Nothobranchius furzeri: one gene and its partners. The protein of the gene in region 1 interacts with the protein of each later gene in a biochemical or structural test. Links are inferred from orthologs where the notes say so. Each region holds a gene or a part of one and is shown in the gene's direction. Other genes may lie near its edges.

The links.
Region 2: the proteins of bmpr1bb (region 1) and gdf5 interact in a biophysical measurement, tested with the Homo sapiens proteins (3 studies listed by BioGRID and IntAct, with this or other methods). The link is inferred for Nothobranchius furzeri from reciprocal best matches to the Homo sapiens genes BMPR1B and GDF5.
Region 3: the proteins of bmpr1bb (region 1) and bmp2b form a complex in vitro, tested with the Homo sapiens proteins (3 studies listed by BioGRID and IntAct, with this or other methods). The link is inferred for Nothobranchius furzeri from reciprocal best matches to the Homo sapiens genes BMPR1B and BMP2.
Region 4: the proteins of bmpr1bb (region 1) and bmp7b form a complex in vitro, tested with the Homo sapiens proteins (2 studies listed by BioGRID). The link is inferred for Nothobranchius furzeri from reciprocal best matches to the Homo sapiens genes BMPR1B and BMP7.

What each region holds. Positions count from the first base shown.
Region 1 is NC_091746.1:52,903,717-52,907,503, forward strand, and holds part of bmpr1bb (bone morphogenetic protein receptor, type IBb), read left to right. Parts: intron 1-301; coding exon 302-404; intron 405-677; coding exon 678-780; intron 781-1,748; coding exon 1,749-1,842; intron 1,843-1,930; coding exon 1,931-2,075; intron 2,076-2,202; coding exon 2,203-2,395; intron 2,396-2,492; coding exon 2,493-2,790; intron 2,791-2,866; coding exon 2,867-3,042; intron 3,043-3,787. UniProt on the Homo sapiens protein: On ligand binding, forms a receptor complex consisting of two type II and two type I transmembrane serine/threonine kinases.
Region 2 is NC_091743.1:78,134,640-78,138,943, reverse strand, and holds the start of gdf5 (growth/differentiation factor 5), read left to right. Parts: upstream 1-1,341; 5' UTR 1,342-1,885; coding exon 1,886-2,513; intron 2,514-4,304. UniProt on the Homo sapiens protein: Growth factor involved in bone and cartilage formation. During cartilage development regulates differentiation of chondrogenic tissue through two pathways.
Region 3 is NC_091742.1:22,692,841-22,697,079, reverse strand, and holds the start of bmp2b (bone morphogenetic protein 2b), read left to right. Parts: upstream 1-1,159; 5' UTR 1,160-1,337; intron 1,338-2,114; 5' UTR 2,115-2,127; coding exon 2,128-2,482; intron 2,483-4,239. UniProt on the Homo sapiens protein: Growth factor of the TGF-beta superfamily that plays essential roles in many developmental processes, including cardiogenesis, neurogenesis, and osteogenesis. Induces cartilage and bone formation.
Region 4 is NC_091755.1:56,417,549-56,421,351, reverse strand, and holds part of bmp7b (bone morphogenetic protein 7b), read left to right. Parts: intron 1-260; coding exon 261-453; intron 454-1,588; coding exon 1,589-1,737; intron 1,738-3,283; coding exon 3,284-3,487; intron 3,488-3,803. UniProt on the Homo sapiens protein: Growth factor of the TGF-beta superfamily that plays important role in various biological processes, including embryogenesis, hematopoiesis, neurogenesis and skeletal morphogenesis.

The sequences.
Region 1 (3,787 bases):
TTCCCTCTTGTCTGGACATGAGACCCCTGGTGCATTTGATGAAGGTAATAAAATGCTGATCTAGTTAGAGCCTTAATTTAAACTTGTTCACAGATAAAAATTTACTCTAACAAATCGCCCGTATCTATTTCTACCAGATGAACATTTAATTATATTTAAAAATGAAACCAAAGTTTTTATTCAAGTACATTTAGAGTTGGTTTAGCTACAAAAACAGTTTTTTGTTTTGTCCTAAGCATTTATCGGGTCAGATGTGCTTGAGACATAATGATTCATACAGTATTTTTGTGCGTTTTGGTAGGACCCGGGGTTTCTGCTTCACCATGGTTACGGAGAAGGAGGGAGGTCACGCTGTTTTTTCTGCAGGATGTTTACCTCTGGTCGGCTCAGAGTTCCAGTGCAGAGTAAGTCTGTCTTATGTGCACATTTATGCCTTGATGACTGCCGGTACTCGTCTCATGTCTCCTCCTTCATGTGGAGTTCTTCAGACCTGCCCTTGACTCACTTTGGCTCTTTATTAGCCTCGTTTAAAACTGACTTCTCCTGACTACCTTGTCCCCACATGGTGTTAAAGCCTTACTGAAGAGTTTTACAGCTGCAATAAATACGTATTACTCCGATGTCTTCATCAGTGACATTTATAAAAGAGTTTCCTGGTTTTTATGTTTGTTTGAAAGGACATGCTGAACGCACGCTTGCGGATCGTTATGGAGTGTTGCACGGATCGGGACTACTGCAACAGAAGCCTGCATCCCACGCTTCCTCCACTCGTGACTTCAGGTAGTTTTGTTCACACTGGTTCTCACACACATTCAAATCCAAGTGGTTTTTAAAGTGGGCTCGTCCCGGCCACGCTGGGCCAGTGATGGTTTAGTGGCATTTTAAATGGTTACAAACCGCAGAGTGGTGCAGCCTCCTCCTGCTGCTCAGGAGGAGCAAAGAGAGGGAGGCAGGTCAAACGGAGACTTGCAGACTTGGCTTGTTTTCTCACTCCATAATGAAAAGGACAGCCTCTCCCCAGGGCCTGCTTGAGTTTCTTGTCTCAGGATGGATGCGAGAAATATGTCCATCTGTCACTCCACAACAAACCAACACACACACACACACGCATGCACACACACTTTCTCGTTCTGTTACCCAGACTAAGATGCAAACATAAAACTTTAATTTTCATGTTTATGTGAATTTTGAAAGCCTGATTAGCCAAATCGCTGATCTAGCCATCTTTTCCATCAGTTATTTTACAAACTTAATCACCAAAATGGGATCAGTTTTGTTGTTTTTGTCTCAGTAGAACTAAAAACTCTGGCTGTTGTCAGCTTTACCATAAACAATGTCTGCAAGAACAACCCAACAGCAGAAGGCGCCATTTATTAACTTGCTTACAACCGGTAGTTTGGATTTATCGAAGACGTTTTTCCGTGTTTTCCACGGTCCTCTTATGATCCATCTTCAGCCGCCTGAGTCCGTGTGTGTCTGACTGACGTGGCCGAGGCAGAAAAGCTAGAGCACCAGAGGTGCTGCAGGCCTCTGGGGATTCTGCAGCGATGTCACCGTGACACCTGATCTGTGGGATCCAGGAACGGGATGCGATCAATAACGCGCTGTGAAAGCAGGGGTTTTGGGTCAGAACTAGGGGAATCGAAGAGGAGGAGATTATTAATCCCGTCTTCTACTGACACCAGGACAAGTGTGTGTGTATTTTTATATGAAGTCACATTCATGCCATCCTTTCTTCTTTCTTTCAGAATATGTGGACAGCAACATCCAGTACATAGCTCTCTTTATCTCACTCACAGCTTGCAGCGTCCTTGCTGTCATTCTTGTCTTCTGCTACTTCAGGTATGAACAGTGTCTCCTTCACATCACTCATCAATAAATATTCACGTGGTGCTCATGAAATAATCCCTTCCTCACCTTTCTGTGTCAGATATAAACGTCAGACGTCACAACCCCCCTACAGCATTGATCTTGAGCAGGATGAGACCTTCATTCCTCCAGGGGACTCACTAAAGGACCTGATTGAGCATTCCCGCAGCATTGGATCTGGGTCTGGGTCAGGACTCCCTCTGCTGGTAAAAACAAAAAAACATGCATGTCTTTTTCTCCAGACCACTTGAGATGGAAATTTCTAAAATCCTTTTTAGGGAATTAAGAAGTTAACATTGGGACTAATTTTTTTTGTAATCAATGTTTTACCAGGTTCAGCGCACCATTGCCAAGCAGATTCAGATGGTTAAGCAGATCGGGAAAGGGCGATACGGAGAAGTCTGGATGGGCAAATGGAGAGAAGAGAGAGTGGCCGTCAAAGTCTTCTTCACTACCGAGGAGGAGAGCTGGTTCAGAGAGACAGAAATTTATCAGACGTTTCTGATGAGGCACGACAACATCCTGGGTAAGGTGGTTAGCATTCCCAACCGTTCCAGGATTCTGTCCTTATGGGACTTTCAGGAATAATTAACGTTTTTTCATCTGTTTTGTGTCATCTCCAGGCTTCATAGCAGCTGATATTAAAGGAACTGGCTCGTGGACTCAGCTCTACCTGATCACAGACTATCATGAGAACGGATCCTTATATGACCACCTCAAGTCCAACACCTTAGACATAAAAGCTCTGCTGAAACTAGCGTACTCGTCCATTTCTGGGCTCTGTCACCTGCACACGGAGATCTACGGCACACAGGGTAAACCCGCCATCGCCCACCGAGACCTGAAGAGCAAAAACATCCTGGTTAAAAAGAATGGATTCTGTTGTATTGCAGATATGGGACTCGCCGTCAAGTTTAACAGGTAAAACACTCTCCTTTAAAACTGCAGGAGCATAACTGGCAAAATATGCATGAAGTGTATTTATGTTCTGTCTCAGTGACACCAACAAAGTGGATATCCCTCCTAATCTACGAGTTGGTACTAAACGCTACATGCCACCTGAAGTGTTGGATGAGACACTGAACAGAAGCACCTTCCAGTCCTTCATAATGGCCGACATGTACAGCTTTGGTTTAATTCTTTGGGAAATGACCCGACGGTGCATCTCTGGAGGTAAAAAGAAAAAAGGATTTTCTTTTCAGATTTGGGTTTTATTATTGGTTTCTTGTTGTAAAGTGGCACTTCAATGAAAACCCGTTATTTAAGGATTATATCTGATTATAATCGATCACTCTGAGCTTTTTGTGCAAACATGAAAATAGTCTCCTACACCTATCTCCTGCAATTACTTCTGGAAATAGACGGTGAAGCTAGGATTTGAAAATCCTGACATATCTACATCACACTGTCACTTAACATTCGTGGACTCACCCATCTTGACCCACAACGGGGAAGGCTGTTGTTGTTTTAGCGTCCAGGAAACAGTAGAGAACGTCTCGGCCAGTAGAAGCTAACCGTTAGCAGTAACAACTCCTCCACACAGCAGAACCCCATCAGGCACCGTTAATAATCTTATTACAGTGGGGCATAAAAGTATTTAGTCAGCCACCGATTGTGCAAGTTCTCCCACTTAAAATGATGACAGAGGTCAGTAATTTACATCATAGGTACACTTCAACTGTGAGAGACAGAATGTGAAAAAAAATCCATGAATTCACATGGCAGGATTTTTAAAGAATTTATTTGTAAATCAGGGTGGAAAATAAGTATTTGGTCAATAACAAAAATTCAACTCAATACTTTTTAACATAACCTTTGTTGGCAGTAACAGAGGTCAAACGATTACTATAGGTCTTTACCAGGTTTGCACACACAGTAGCTGGTATTTTGGACCATTCCTCCATGCAGATCTTCTCGA
Region 2 (4,304 bases), on another chromosome or scaffold:
TCATTATTCATTCCTCATCTGTGTGTGTGTGTGTGTGTGTGTGTGTGCACGTGCGTGTCTGTGTGTGTGTGTGTGTGTGTGTGTGTGTGTGTGTGTGTGTGTGTGTGTGTGTGTGTGTGTGTGACGACCAAATAGGTCACCTGACTTTCATGGTTCTGATTACTGTTTAAGGTTCTTGGATGAGGTTTAAGTCCTGAACTCCTGACCCAGGATCAGAGCTGAAGAACATCTTAAAGGAACAGGAGAAGAAGTCCTGTTTTGTTTCTTCATCCTACCTCATCAGAGTTTTATTTCCGCTCTGAACTCCATGCAGATGAAAACATTTCTGAGTCAAAGTCATGGTTTGTTTCATCAACCTGCCACTTTACCTTCCTGTGATGTGACTTAGTGAGGGTTTGGCACCAACAGCAACTTGAAACAGGAAAGAGTCTTTTGGCTCTTTGGTGCAAAACCTGCAGCAAAAGTTAAGCATGACTAATGGTGAATGAATGGAGCCCATTTGGTCAGCCATGACATGTTAAAATATTTAAAAAACAAGAATCTAAACTTCTCTCTAATCTGTAGACTCATGACTTTATGAAAGGTTTAATGCATCTTTTTCCATATAATCATCTGAGGAAGGAGGTCAGATGTGAGGGTTGCTTTTCTCTACTGAATTATCAGAGGCTTCACTCAAGCTAATGATTAGTCCTAATTTTAATCTGAGTTTTGGGGTCTTCAGATCAAACCTCAACAGATGTCTACGTGTTCTCCAGCTTGGGACTCACCTTCAGGGCTTCATCTCATTGTGTTTTATAAAGTAACTGGAGCCTCAGTCTCCTTCATCTGGCCTTAGAATAGGAAACATCCAGCTGCTGCAGCTCTTCAGAGCCACACAGATGTGTGTGTGTGTGTGTGTGTGTGTGTGTGTGTGTGTGTGTGGGGCAGCAGTAGCTCAACAGGTTGAGCGGGTTTTCCAGTAGTCGGAAGGTTGCAGGTTCGATCCCGGCTCCGGACAGAGAATTCTGCTGTTGTGTCCTTGGGCAAGACACTTAACCCAGCTTGCCTGCTGGCGGTGGTCGGAGGGACCAGTGCTCGGCAGCCTCAACTCTGTCAGTGTGCCCCAGAGCAGCTGTGGCTACATCGTAGCTCATCACCATCAGTGTGTGAATGGAAGAATGATACACTGTAAAGCGCTTTGGAGTCCTTACTCTGGCGGGCGCTATACAAAAGTGGGTCATTTATCATTTATCATAATTTGTGTGTGTGTGTGTGTGTGTGTGTGTGTGTGTGTGTGTGTGTGTGTGTGTGTGTGTGTGTGTGTGTGTGTGTGTGTGTAAAAGAGGGAGGAAGATGTGGGCTGAATTATCACTGTTAAATGAGTTGGGACAGAATGACATCACGGCGTAATTAAAGCCGCTCTCTGGAATTCCTGCTCAGGTCTGCTGCAGGATTCTGGAGCACCTGCGGGTTGTTGTGTGTGAGTGAAATATTTTCACTGGACAGAGTTCAAGCTTTGGAGGGAAAGAGAAAAAACGGAGGCAACCGCATTACGCCATACTCTCCTCACATGGAAAAAAGAAGTGGGATTTAAAGAAGTTGTTACATGGTACCAAGCAGAACAGTTCGCTGGAGAGCAGAAGACGGGTCCAGGTCTCAGAGTCTCACCTGTCCACCATCAGCAGTATGGTTCTGACACCTGACCCTGACCAAATGACTCTTTTAACCCTGTGAGAGTCAGACCCCGTTTCTCTAGCGTTTGGGAGCGAGACGCGCATTTTGGACCTCACGGGTCTGAGGATGAGAAAGGTCACTGAACTTCCCGCGCTCCTGGTGTCGGCTCAGCGGGTCAGATCGTTCTGAAGAGATTTATAGACGATGTGCCAAAAGGCTGCAGAGATTTAGGATGAGAGTGAAGAATCTTCCCCTTCTGCTCAGCTGGACGATAGTCTTCCTGCATCCCGTCCGCGGTTCGCTCAGCAGAACCAGAACCACCTTGGAGCGAACGGGAGGAACCGCTGGCTCTTGGAAACCAGCTCCTCGTGTGCGCGTGAGTGCGCTGCCGACCACAGGTGAGACGAATTTTGCCAGTCAGAAACCAGCGGGGATCTCCGCTGCACCGGGGAGGCTGGACCAGCCGCAGCAGGACGGAGCGCAAAGATCCGCGTGCAGAGAGGCTGTGTGCTCCTGGCGTCCCGCCGCTAAGGCACGTGTTGAAGCGCACGCGCCCGCAGCTGTTAACGCAAATGCTGCCAGGAAAGGAACTGAGACGTTTGGAGGAGGTGGCTCACCGGGGAAAGCCGCTTCCAGGGCGGGCGCAGCAGCCGCCGCTGCGCGCAGCGGGTATGAGCAAAAACAGAGCGCGGCTGTGGAGCGGGGCGTCAGCATCAAGTCACCGAAACCAGGCGCCAGGCAGCCGGTGGTGACCCCTCACGACTACATGCTGTCTCTGTACTGGTCACTGAGCAGCGGAGACGTGAACAGCAGCGCGGCTCTGGCCAACACCATCACCAGCTTTGTGGACAAGGGACAAGGTAACTGTCTCTGTCCTCTATAACGAAGACTATAGGCTTTCAAAGGAACAGAAAGAAAGAAAGAAAGAAAGAAAGAAAGAAAGAAAGAAAGAAAGAAAGAAATGAAAAACTGAATAACTTTCCTAGGATTTGGATCCAGTTCTGGGATCAGATGGTTTGGAAGCAGCAGAATGTTCTGTCGGTCATGTTTCAGTTGTAGGGAAACATCACTGCTGCTGCTCACACACAAACCTTACTTAAAACCAACCATTTAGTTCTGAGTGAAGATTTGGTGAAGGAGGGCTCTGTAGACCTCCACAGATCTAGGATCAGTAGGAGAAAGAACAGGATCTGAAGGGAAGGCCTGTGATTGGTTTAGCTCATACTGGAATAAAAGATATTTTAGTGTTTGCATTGAAAACTGTTCTTCTCGACCTCTAGGGTCCCCCAGGGTTCAGTTTTGGGTCCTTAGCTTTTCTCGATCTACATACTTCCTCCAGGCATCATTCTAAAAAAACTTAGTAAACTATCACATTTAATGCCTGGCAAGCCCGACTAAATAATATATTATTAAGTCCGGCAACACTCCATCGATGGCTCTCGGGCTCTACAGTTGCCTTTCAAACGATCTCCCGCACGCTACTGGACAATGAACAACGTGGCATACTCACCACAACGGATGTCGATAAACGAGGTTGTAGAAGGTAAAAATACATCCTTTTTCTAAATAAACAACTTAAAAACGTGTATCTGCTCCTGGTTCAATAAAGCCCAAGTCCCAATAGTCCAGAATTAATGTAAAACCCATTTAAAATGAGCGGTCGCCATTTTTTTCCACTCTTGCATCATCCCGCCCACCAGACAAACAGAGGTCCGTGATTGGTCCACAAAGCAGATAGGTCACTGTGACCGGCCCACCATTGTGGACCAATCACAGCGCTCTATCAGTTTGAAACCCCTCTAGAGAGCTGTGATTGGCCAGCCAGAATGCTGCTAGGGGCTGCAGAGGTTCTAGTGGAGCGTTCCTAGACCAAAGTTTGGTCTAGTTCACTAGACTAGTTCTGGGCTAGTTCACTAGGCTACACATGTATGCAGATGACTGACTACTACTATGTCAGCCCAAGCTCTCCTGCAGTCTGTGTTCAGGATCGTTCCTCTGTAATTAAAACCTGTTTTTCCTCTAATTACCTTCATCTAAATGAGGACAAAACCAATGCTATTGTAATAAAAGTAGCCGTGGGCAGCACGGGCAGAATATCTTGCCCTCCGGTCAGAACCTGAACACACCACCAGTAGGCAACGACTTATAAAAGACACACTTTATTGCACAACCAATAATAAAACACAACGATAAAACACCATGGCCCAAGCCCTCTCTTGTAAAACCAACTGTCCAGCATGAGTCACGTAAGCAGCGGTACTTAGCTGTCACGGATGGTGTGACCCCCGTCCCCGGGGTCTGAGCTTCCAACGCCGTCCAACGCCCCGGGGTGTAGCTTGCGAGGACGGCGGGTAAATCCACAACATAAGTCCACTGCCAGAGTCCGTAGCGGCAGATGTCGGCGCGGCCTTGGCATCACCTATGCCCAGCCCTAACTGTCTAAAGAAGGCGACCAGCCTTCCCTCCTGGCGCTGGAACACTAAACACCTGTTCAGCTATCTTCGTCGCCGGCAGCCCTACCCGGCTGCGAACGACCCCTCCCCCCAAAGTCCGATGCCACAATGACAGGTCGACCACGCACCCCTCTCAGCAGACCTGTCACCTTTTTATCCTCCCTGGCCTCGTTATCCATAACGAGGACCAGCTGGTGT
Region 3 (4,239 bases), on another chromosome or scaffold:
TGAAAGGAATTGGTTTCGTCATATTTATTACAAATTAACCCTTTGATGCATGAATTATGAAATCTTCAACCATGATTTTTTAAACTTTTTTTTCATTCATCTGTAGGTGTGAATGAAACAAATTTCAGCAAATATTATTTGTAGTATTTTGTTAATTTACAAATAATTTATTACATGTCCATCTCAGGGGACAGCGTGCATTCTGAACACGAAATATGTTGGCTTGACTTACTGAAGTCCAAATGAAGGAGCTCAATTGCAATAAAGTCTTCAACAGCTGTAAAATAAACAAATAACAATTTTGAATACCTGTCCACTGTATAGTGACCATTATGCATCAAAGGGTTAATGTAAAATTATATGATGAAGCCTGTTTATTCTTTCTATTTGGTTGATTTAAGTAATTCCTTAATAACGTGTTGTGTTTGCTAAAAGGAAAAAACTGTTAATAACTGCAAATGTCCCACATAGTTCATTTTTCTCACTACATTTTGCATTTTGATCATTGGCAACCTTTTGAATCTCAAATGCACTGAATCTATTTTGGCAAAACAAACAAACAAAAGTACTTGTTTGTCAAAAGAAGCAAACAAAAAGTACTTTTTTTTCTTCAAATATGCTGAGTACACATTCTGAGGGGAAATACTTGGTTAAAAATTGTAGTAATAAACTCAGCTCATAAACTCCTGCCAGCTCTTCCACCTGTTCTTGGTGGTCCTGTTACAGATTTTAATCCAAATCACATTTGTAGATGTTTGCTGAAGGGGAGAGGAATAAAGTTTAAACAGTTTTCCATTGTGAAGTTAGAAATGAGGGATTTTTCTCCTGCGGGAGTTACGCACAGGAAGTGGTGCGGTTTGGACAGATGACTGACAGCCCAGTGACATCACTGTAGGACAAAAAGCGTCGCAGGGGAAAGAGAAGGCACCAATCAATAGACCCGCTCCGGAGAGCTCTCCCTCTCCGAGCACCAACTTCACTGCGCTCATCTCTCCACGAACATCGCGCGACGCTCCACGTTTCTCCACTTTCAGCTTTTCTTTTTTCTAATTTTAAAAATGTCCAGACAAGCTTCCTCGCACTTAGTTCGGCTATGCCTGCGCGCAGCCGCTTCCTCGTAGACTTAATTTTTCTACTTTTTTTCTTTCCTCTCCGGACTGAGCAAGACCCGAACCCGACGCGCAGCTGGTGAGAATATGTGCGAGAAGCGATCGGCGGAGGGCGCGGGCTGTTTTCGGTCCCCCAAGCAGAAGCAGCGTGGATTAAACACGAATTAATGTGGAATTTATCGGAGCTTAAAGGTGGAACGACGACCGGACACCGCGCGTTCTCGTCAGGTAAATCGCTAGAATAAAGAATAACCATCGATGTGGAGGTTTTAACCTGAATCCGCACTTGGACTGAACACAGAAAGGTCACTTCACAAGTGACAGCTCATTTGTTTCTAATAATAAATTCGTGCGTAAAGCCTCCGCCTGTTGAGCCACGGAGAAACAGAAAATGAAAATAGAGGTAAAAGTTGTCTGTGTGGAAGTTGTTTGACTCCGTCTGTGTTTCTGATGCCTGGCTGTGGGGCACACGTCAGATCTAACACCTGCAAGCCTCTTGAAGTAACTATCCTTTATGATTACATGCAAACAGCGCGCAGTGGGACTGGAACTGATGCGTGTTCTTCCTTTGATCCTTCTCTCTGCATGGACTTTCATATCTGCAACAAGATCTCTTATCTCTTCTCGCTGGAGACCTTTTGTCTGCAGCGTTTCCCTTCAAATCCTTTGATTTGTCTGTTTAATCCACCTCTGTCATTAGTTTTTCACCTTGATATTTCATGTTAGGGTTCATGTTCAACCCAAACTAGAGGAGCAGTTTAGCCTCTGGGTTTTTCTTTCTTTCTTTCTTTCTTTCTTTCTTTCTTTCTTTCTTTCTTTCTTTCTTTCTTTTTCTTCTGCACTTCAAAGTGAAGAGGTGTCTCCCCCTTTTTAACCTGCTCCCCTTCAGTTTTACGCTCTGAGGGGGGATTTGGGAACTGCTGCCGCGAGAGCCTAGCTGGGACCACCTCACGTCAATACCACATTGCCTGCCAGTGTATTGACAGAAACCAACTTTCTCCACAGGGACTGACTGATCATGGTCGCCGTGGTCCGCTCTCTCATGGTACTGATGCTCGCTCAGGTGCTGCTGGAAGGTGCTGCGGGACTCATCCCCGAGGTAGGCCGGAGGAAGTACAGCGAATCCGGGAAACAGACCCCTGAGCAGTCGGAGAGCTTCCTCAACGAGTTCGAGCTGCGGCTTCTCAACATGTTCGGGCTGAGACGCAGGCCGACCCCCAGCAAACAAGCCGTGGTGCCCCAGTACATGGTGGACCTTTACCGGATGCACTCTGCGAACGGAGACCACAGCACTAAGCGGCCCAAGAGCATGGGGAAGCACGCAGAGAGAGCCGCCAGCAAGGCCAACACGATTAGAAGCTTTCACCATGAAGGTATATATTAGTGACATACCTTTACATGTCTCTCTCAGACAGCGCAAACCTATATTTAAACATGACTCAGATCGTCAACACTGAACTTCAGAGTCTTCCCTGTTTTCTGAAGGTTTAGTCATTTACAGATGACATGCTCCGAAGGTATTTGCAACCTTAAAAAATGCTTTAACTTAAAGATTGATGCACAAAAATCACATCAAAGTTGACTTTTCTCACCTAAGCAGCAGTGCAACATTTAGACAAACATCCCTCCAGCACAGCTGTCACAGGCTTCAGAAACATCAGGGGCGGCGGTATCCCCGGGGTCATTAGTTTCTTAATAATTGATGGTGTTTGCGTGGGATTCTGAAAACTGTTTTTCCAGACACGCACCACGGGAGCAGCATAAAGGGCGGTGCGCCTGTGCGCAGGTGATAGACGTCACCCTGCAACTTCAAAAAACAACCGACATCAGAGCAACACACACGATGACGAAGTCACCGTGTCAGACTGAGTCACCTTTAACAAGACTCAAATTAGCTCTTGGTAACGCCGTAGAGGAGGCGTGGCTTCCCTTCTTCCTGTTGCTTCCAGTTGTGCATCATTACGCGTGAACCAGTTTGGAGAAGACAGCGATAGTTGAACTACAAGTCTCAGTTCAGTTGAATTTAAAAACCTATATTTAAACATGACTCATTCACCTCTCGGATGAAAATAAACGTTTTGCAGACTCTGGATCAGCTGTTAAAATGTGGATTTAAACAGTATTTTAACAAAGTAAATGATGCTTTGTTTATAACAGCTTTAAAAGCAGGAGCACTCGATGTTTACGTTTTTGTATAATAAACATCTTATTCCCGGTATAGTAGATTTGCACATCTATTTATCTTAATGTGACCCACGTTGCTGGGTCCATTGGGGCCCTGCGCAGAGTCCTCATACAGAGTCCTGTGTTTGAGTGGAGAAGTTTCTTTCCATCAGGGGTGAGTCAGAGGGGTGGTTGAGTGGTTGCTTGGGTGCTCTCCAAAGGCCTAGTGCAATGACACCAAGTGGCTACACTGACACACTACAAACAACCCTGAGCAGCAGGGTTGAGTGACTGCTCCCAGCTCACCGCTGGAAACCTCTGCACTCAGCCAACACACGTTGACATTTACACGTCTTCTCCTGGCTCTTTTCGTCCTATGCTAACAGCCGCGCGGTTATTAGGCTTCCCGTATCGCGTCGAGGGATTGTTCCCCCTGTAATAAGCACGGATCTACAGATGTTAATGCAGCACATCAAAGCAAACAGCTCCAAGCCTTCGTCACGTCTGCCACGCCATGCTCCTTTCGCTCGGACAATTGGTTTTCAGGAATAACTCGAGTCAAATAGAGCCTTTCCACCGTAGCACAGGACGCAGCTGCCAGAGATGGCCGATCCAATATTAGCATCTATCTTTTGTTTTGGCGAGTGGCACAAAAATAAAGCTGTGGAAATCTGTGGTTCGCGTGCTTTTGACAAGCATAAACTTGTTCACACAGCAGTTCCAGACCGAGATCGAGAACAGTTGCAGAAAGGAACTGAGAAAACGGTGACAGAGAAGACAAGAGAAGAGGATCTCTAAAAGGACGGAGGGGAAAGAGGGGGATTTGGGTGCTGATAAAAAACAAAAAAAGAAGAGTAGGATTGGGTGAAGAGGAGCGAGAATGAGAGAGGGGGCTTTCCCACATCAAATGAGTAGTGATGGGTCTAATTGAGGTCTTTGTGCCTCTGGAGGGGGGTTTAGGACCAGA
Region 4 (3,803 bases), on another chromosome or scaffold:
GCTTGACAAGCTGCATCAGGTCCCTCAACCTATGTTGTGCAGCCTACGGGGAAGAATCAATACAAAAATGAAGGAGGAAAACACGTATCCACCAACTTTACAAACATGTGTTTTTTTTCCCTGGAGGTTGCAACTCAATACCACAAAAAAGCTTTTAAACTCTCTATGAACTCACGCAGATCTATGTGCTGCCCTCTTTAAGATGGCGGGAAAGCTGTTCACGTAGAATTAATTCTATGTTCTTATTATTTTTTTTCCAGTGGAGCACGATAAGGAGTTCCTGCCAGTGCGGCGGCATCATCGAGAGTTTAGATTCGATCTGTCACGGATCCCAGAGGGCGAGGCGGTTACTGCCGCCGAGTTTCGCATCTATAAGGACTTCATCCATGAGCGCTATGACAACGAGACTTTTCGCATCAGCATCTACCAGGTGCTGGAGGAGCACAGCGACAGGTGAGGAACAGTAACCATTTTACCTGATTAAATGACTTCAATCAAGACCAGCAGGTTTTGGTGATGAGGACTTTGGATTAAAGTGAAATTACTCCCGATGAACAAAGAATTTTTCCACTCAGAATGAAGTGACTCTAATGATGTTTCGATCTGATGACTTTCTTTGACTTTGCTGTGTCTGAGGAAACGTCATCAGAGAAATGATGAAAAAAGGATGAAATAAAACTAAACAGCTTTATATTAACTGACAGAAAAACCATGGAGCTATTTTTTAAAATACACTTCTTTGACTCTTGCAGAACTGCTGGAACAATTATAAAACAACCAGGCTTCTTCAGAGGTCGGAATAAACTGAACTTTTAGCTTCATGCTGTCAAAATCCAGATTTCAGTACACATGTGTAATTTAGAAGTTTTGATCATTTGGCGTTTTCTTCCAGATCAGACAAAACTAATCAAGGAGGAACATCATTTACCTGCAGATGTTTGAAAATCAGCATTTAAATCCTTGTGGTTCATCTGGACCACAAGGTGCATGACTCAGATAGAAACCAAGTCCCCGGTCTGTCCTTAAGGTTCAGTTGTCTGCGGGGAACAACACAATCATTTATTCCTCTGCCGGGGACATGCCGGGGACATGAATGGACCAGGGCTCTGTGACACACTATCTGCTCAGTCAGAAAATGGGTCGGGATACACGAACGGCTGCATAAAGAACAAGGGATTTTAGTTTGAAACTGTGAGAGATTAGAAAACCCAAAGTTCACTTGGATATGCACTATTTCCTCACTCATTTCCACACAGTTTTCTTTTGTTTTCTCACAGCTGTGAGAAAACACAGCTCTCATTTTGTCTTTCTGGTTCGCCCTCAGAATTCCAGTGAGTGATGGACTGTGTGCAGCATATGAAAGGACCGCTCGTTTATAAAGCTATTATTGTCAATTAAGAAAATGAAGTGCTCCCCTGGGCCTCACCATCTGGTGCCCTCCCTACTTGCCTCTCATCACTCTCTTTGTTTCACTTCGTCACACTCCTCTGGTTCTCTCTCCCTCCTGTCTATGGCTCTGTGCTCCAGTCTCGATAACTGGCTTTTTTGTTGCATGCATGTTCTAACTAGGAATATGTTTTCCCTGCAGGGAGTCAGACCTCTTTCTGCTGGACTCCAGAGTTATCTGGGCAGCAGAGGAGGGCTGGTTGGTGTTCGACGTGACAGCGACCAGTAATCATTGGGTCCTGAACCCTGGCAGAAACCTGGGTCTGCAGCTGGCTCTGGAGAGCACAAATGGTAAGGGGGCATTCTTGCCAGTAAATTCCCTCATGTCACAAAACACACACACACACACACACACACACACACACACACACACACACACACACACACACACACACACACACACACACACACACACACACACACACACATTTTAGATTTTGTGTTATGCTTAATGATGTTGAATTAATTTGCAGTATACTCATGTTTATTTGTCTTCATTTATGCAACCAGAAACAGGCTAAGACTTATTCTGCAATAAAATACAACACACATATAAAGGAGAAAACCCTAAAATAGGACAAAAAATGTATATATATATATATATATATATATATATATATATATATATATATATATATATATATATACATGTCAGAAATCATAAAAGAAACATTTATCTAAATAGTAATTTTATTTATTTATTTTTATTTATTTTACTTATATTTTTCTTCCCAGGAGGATAAACTGCTTGAGATGTGGCATCTCGTTTTCGAGCAGGTCCTCCTACCATACAACAAGTAAAGAATAAGAAGGCAACGTCGATAAACCATAACAAACTAAGAGAGAGGGGAAAAAATAATAATAACACCCGCTGTGACTTACCCCATGTATCTCTAGGCATAATTTTATTTATAAAACAATAATGCACATGCATCCAGTTAATAATAGTTGCCAGTCAGTATAAAATATGAAACAAATAAAATAAATCAAGGCGAAGACCTCTTCACATTTCCTTCCCATGAAATCCTCCTGACCTAAAGCACAATAAACCTGCATTTGTTATTATATTGTTATTCAAATGTTCTTGTAAACACCTAAAACAACACAAGCGCTGCTGGATTCTGCATGTTTGGACAGAACTATGAATATAATTCAATCAAAGTAATGACCACAAAGTACATCGTAAAATGTGTTTGGAATAAGTATTTCTAAACTGTTCCATCTGGATTAGAATCTAAACAAACCCAAATGCTGCATTTCCCACAGAGCAGTAAAAAAAAAACACGAGAGCTGGCATTAAAACACTCGAGTCTGCAACCGAGCTGCTATGAAACCAATGAAATCAGGTAATTTGTTCTCTGATGAGAAACACCAAACCCTGTTTCTCACCACCACTATCCTCATCTGACCTACCCTCAGCATCATTTAGCAGGTATGCAGTAAATACGCTGCACTATCTCAAAAGGCACAAACGTTTGTTGGTGATCAACTTTATCAGCAAAACACCAGGCAGTACAAGCGTGTTTCACAGGATGGCAGGATGTTACATGTTGGTGAGGGAAACAGATGCTGCTTTCAGGCTACGTTGTGGATGTTTGTCAGTGTGTGATTGTAGGTTTGGAGCTTTATGGAGTAGCATGTTCAGACAAGCTTAAGGGACAGCCTGTCACCAGACATGATGAAGGAGAAAGGGTGAAGGGGGAAAAGGATGAGGATTTACTAAAATAAAGCTCATTTTTAAAAGTTAAGTTGGGAAAAGTGATTTTTGTTGCCCTTCTCTGCCCTCTTGATGCTTTATTCCTCTGACCTGTTGTGTTTTCTCTCCCCCACCCTTCAGGAGAGAGTATCAGTCTTCGTGTGGCAGGGCTGATTGGTCGCAGTGGACCTCAGAATAAACAGCCCTTCATGGTGGCCTTCTTCAAAGCAACGGAGGTGCACCTGCGAAGCATCCGCTCTGCGTTGGGAGGATCCAAACAACGAAACCCCAGCCAATCCAAAGGGGCAAAGAGCCAAGTGACACTCCGAATGGCTAACATCGCCGGTAAACACATTGTTGTCAATCTGCCTTTGGTTTTCTCACAGAGGGACTCAGTTGAGCAACATTCACTATTTGATTCCTCTGCACACAAATATCCAAGTATTACACTTCAGATGGCAATGAAACATTTAACGTATATTGCAGGCCTTTGTCCAGGAGGTGTGAGAGAGCTGTGTTTATGTGAAACATTAGACTGTACAGCTTCAAATATCCATCTGCTGTCTTTGTTTATTTACTCAAGCATTACACAGCATTTGGGGCCAAGCTCCCTGCATGAAGGTAAGGCACCGCAGGCTTTTATGGCAGAGCACATCTGTGG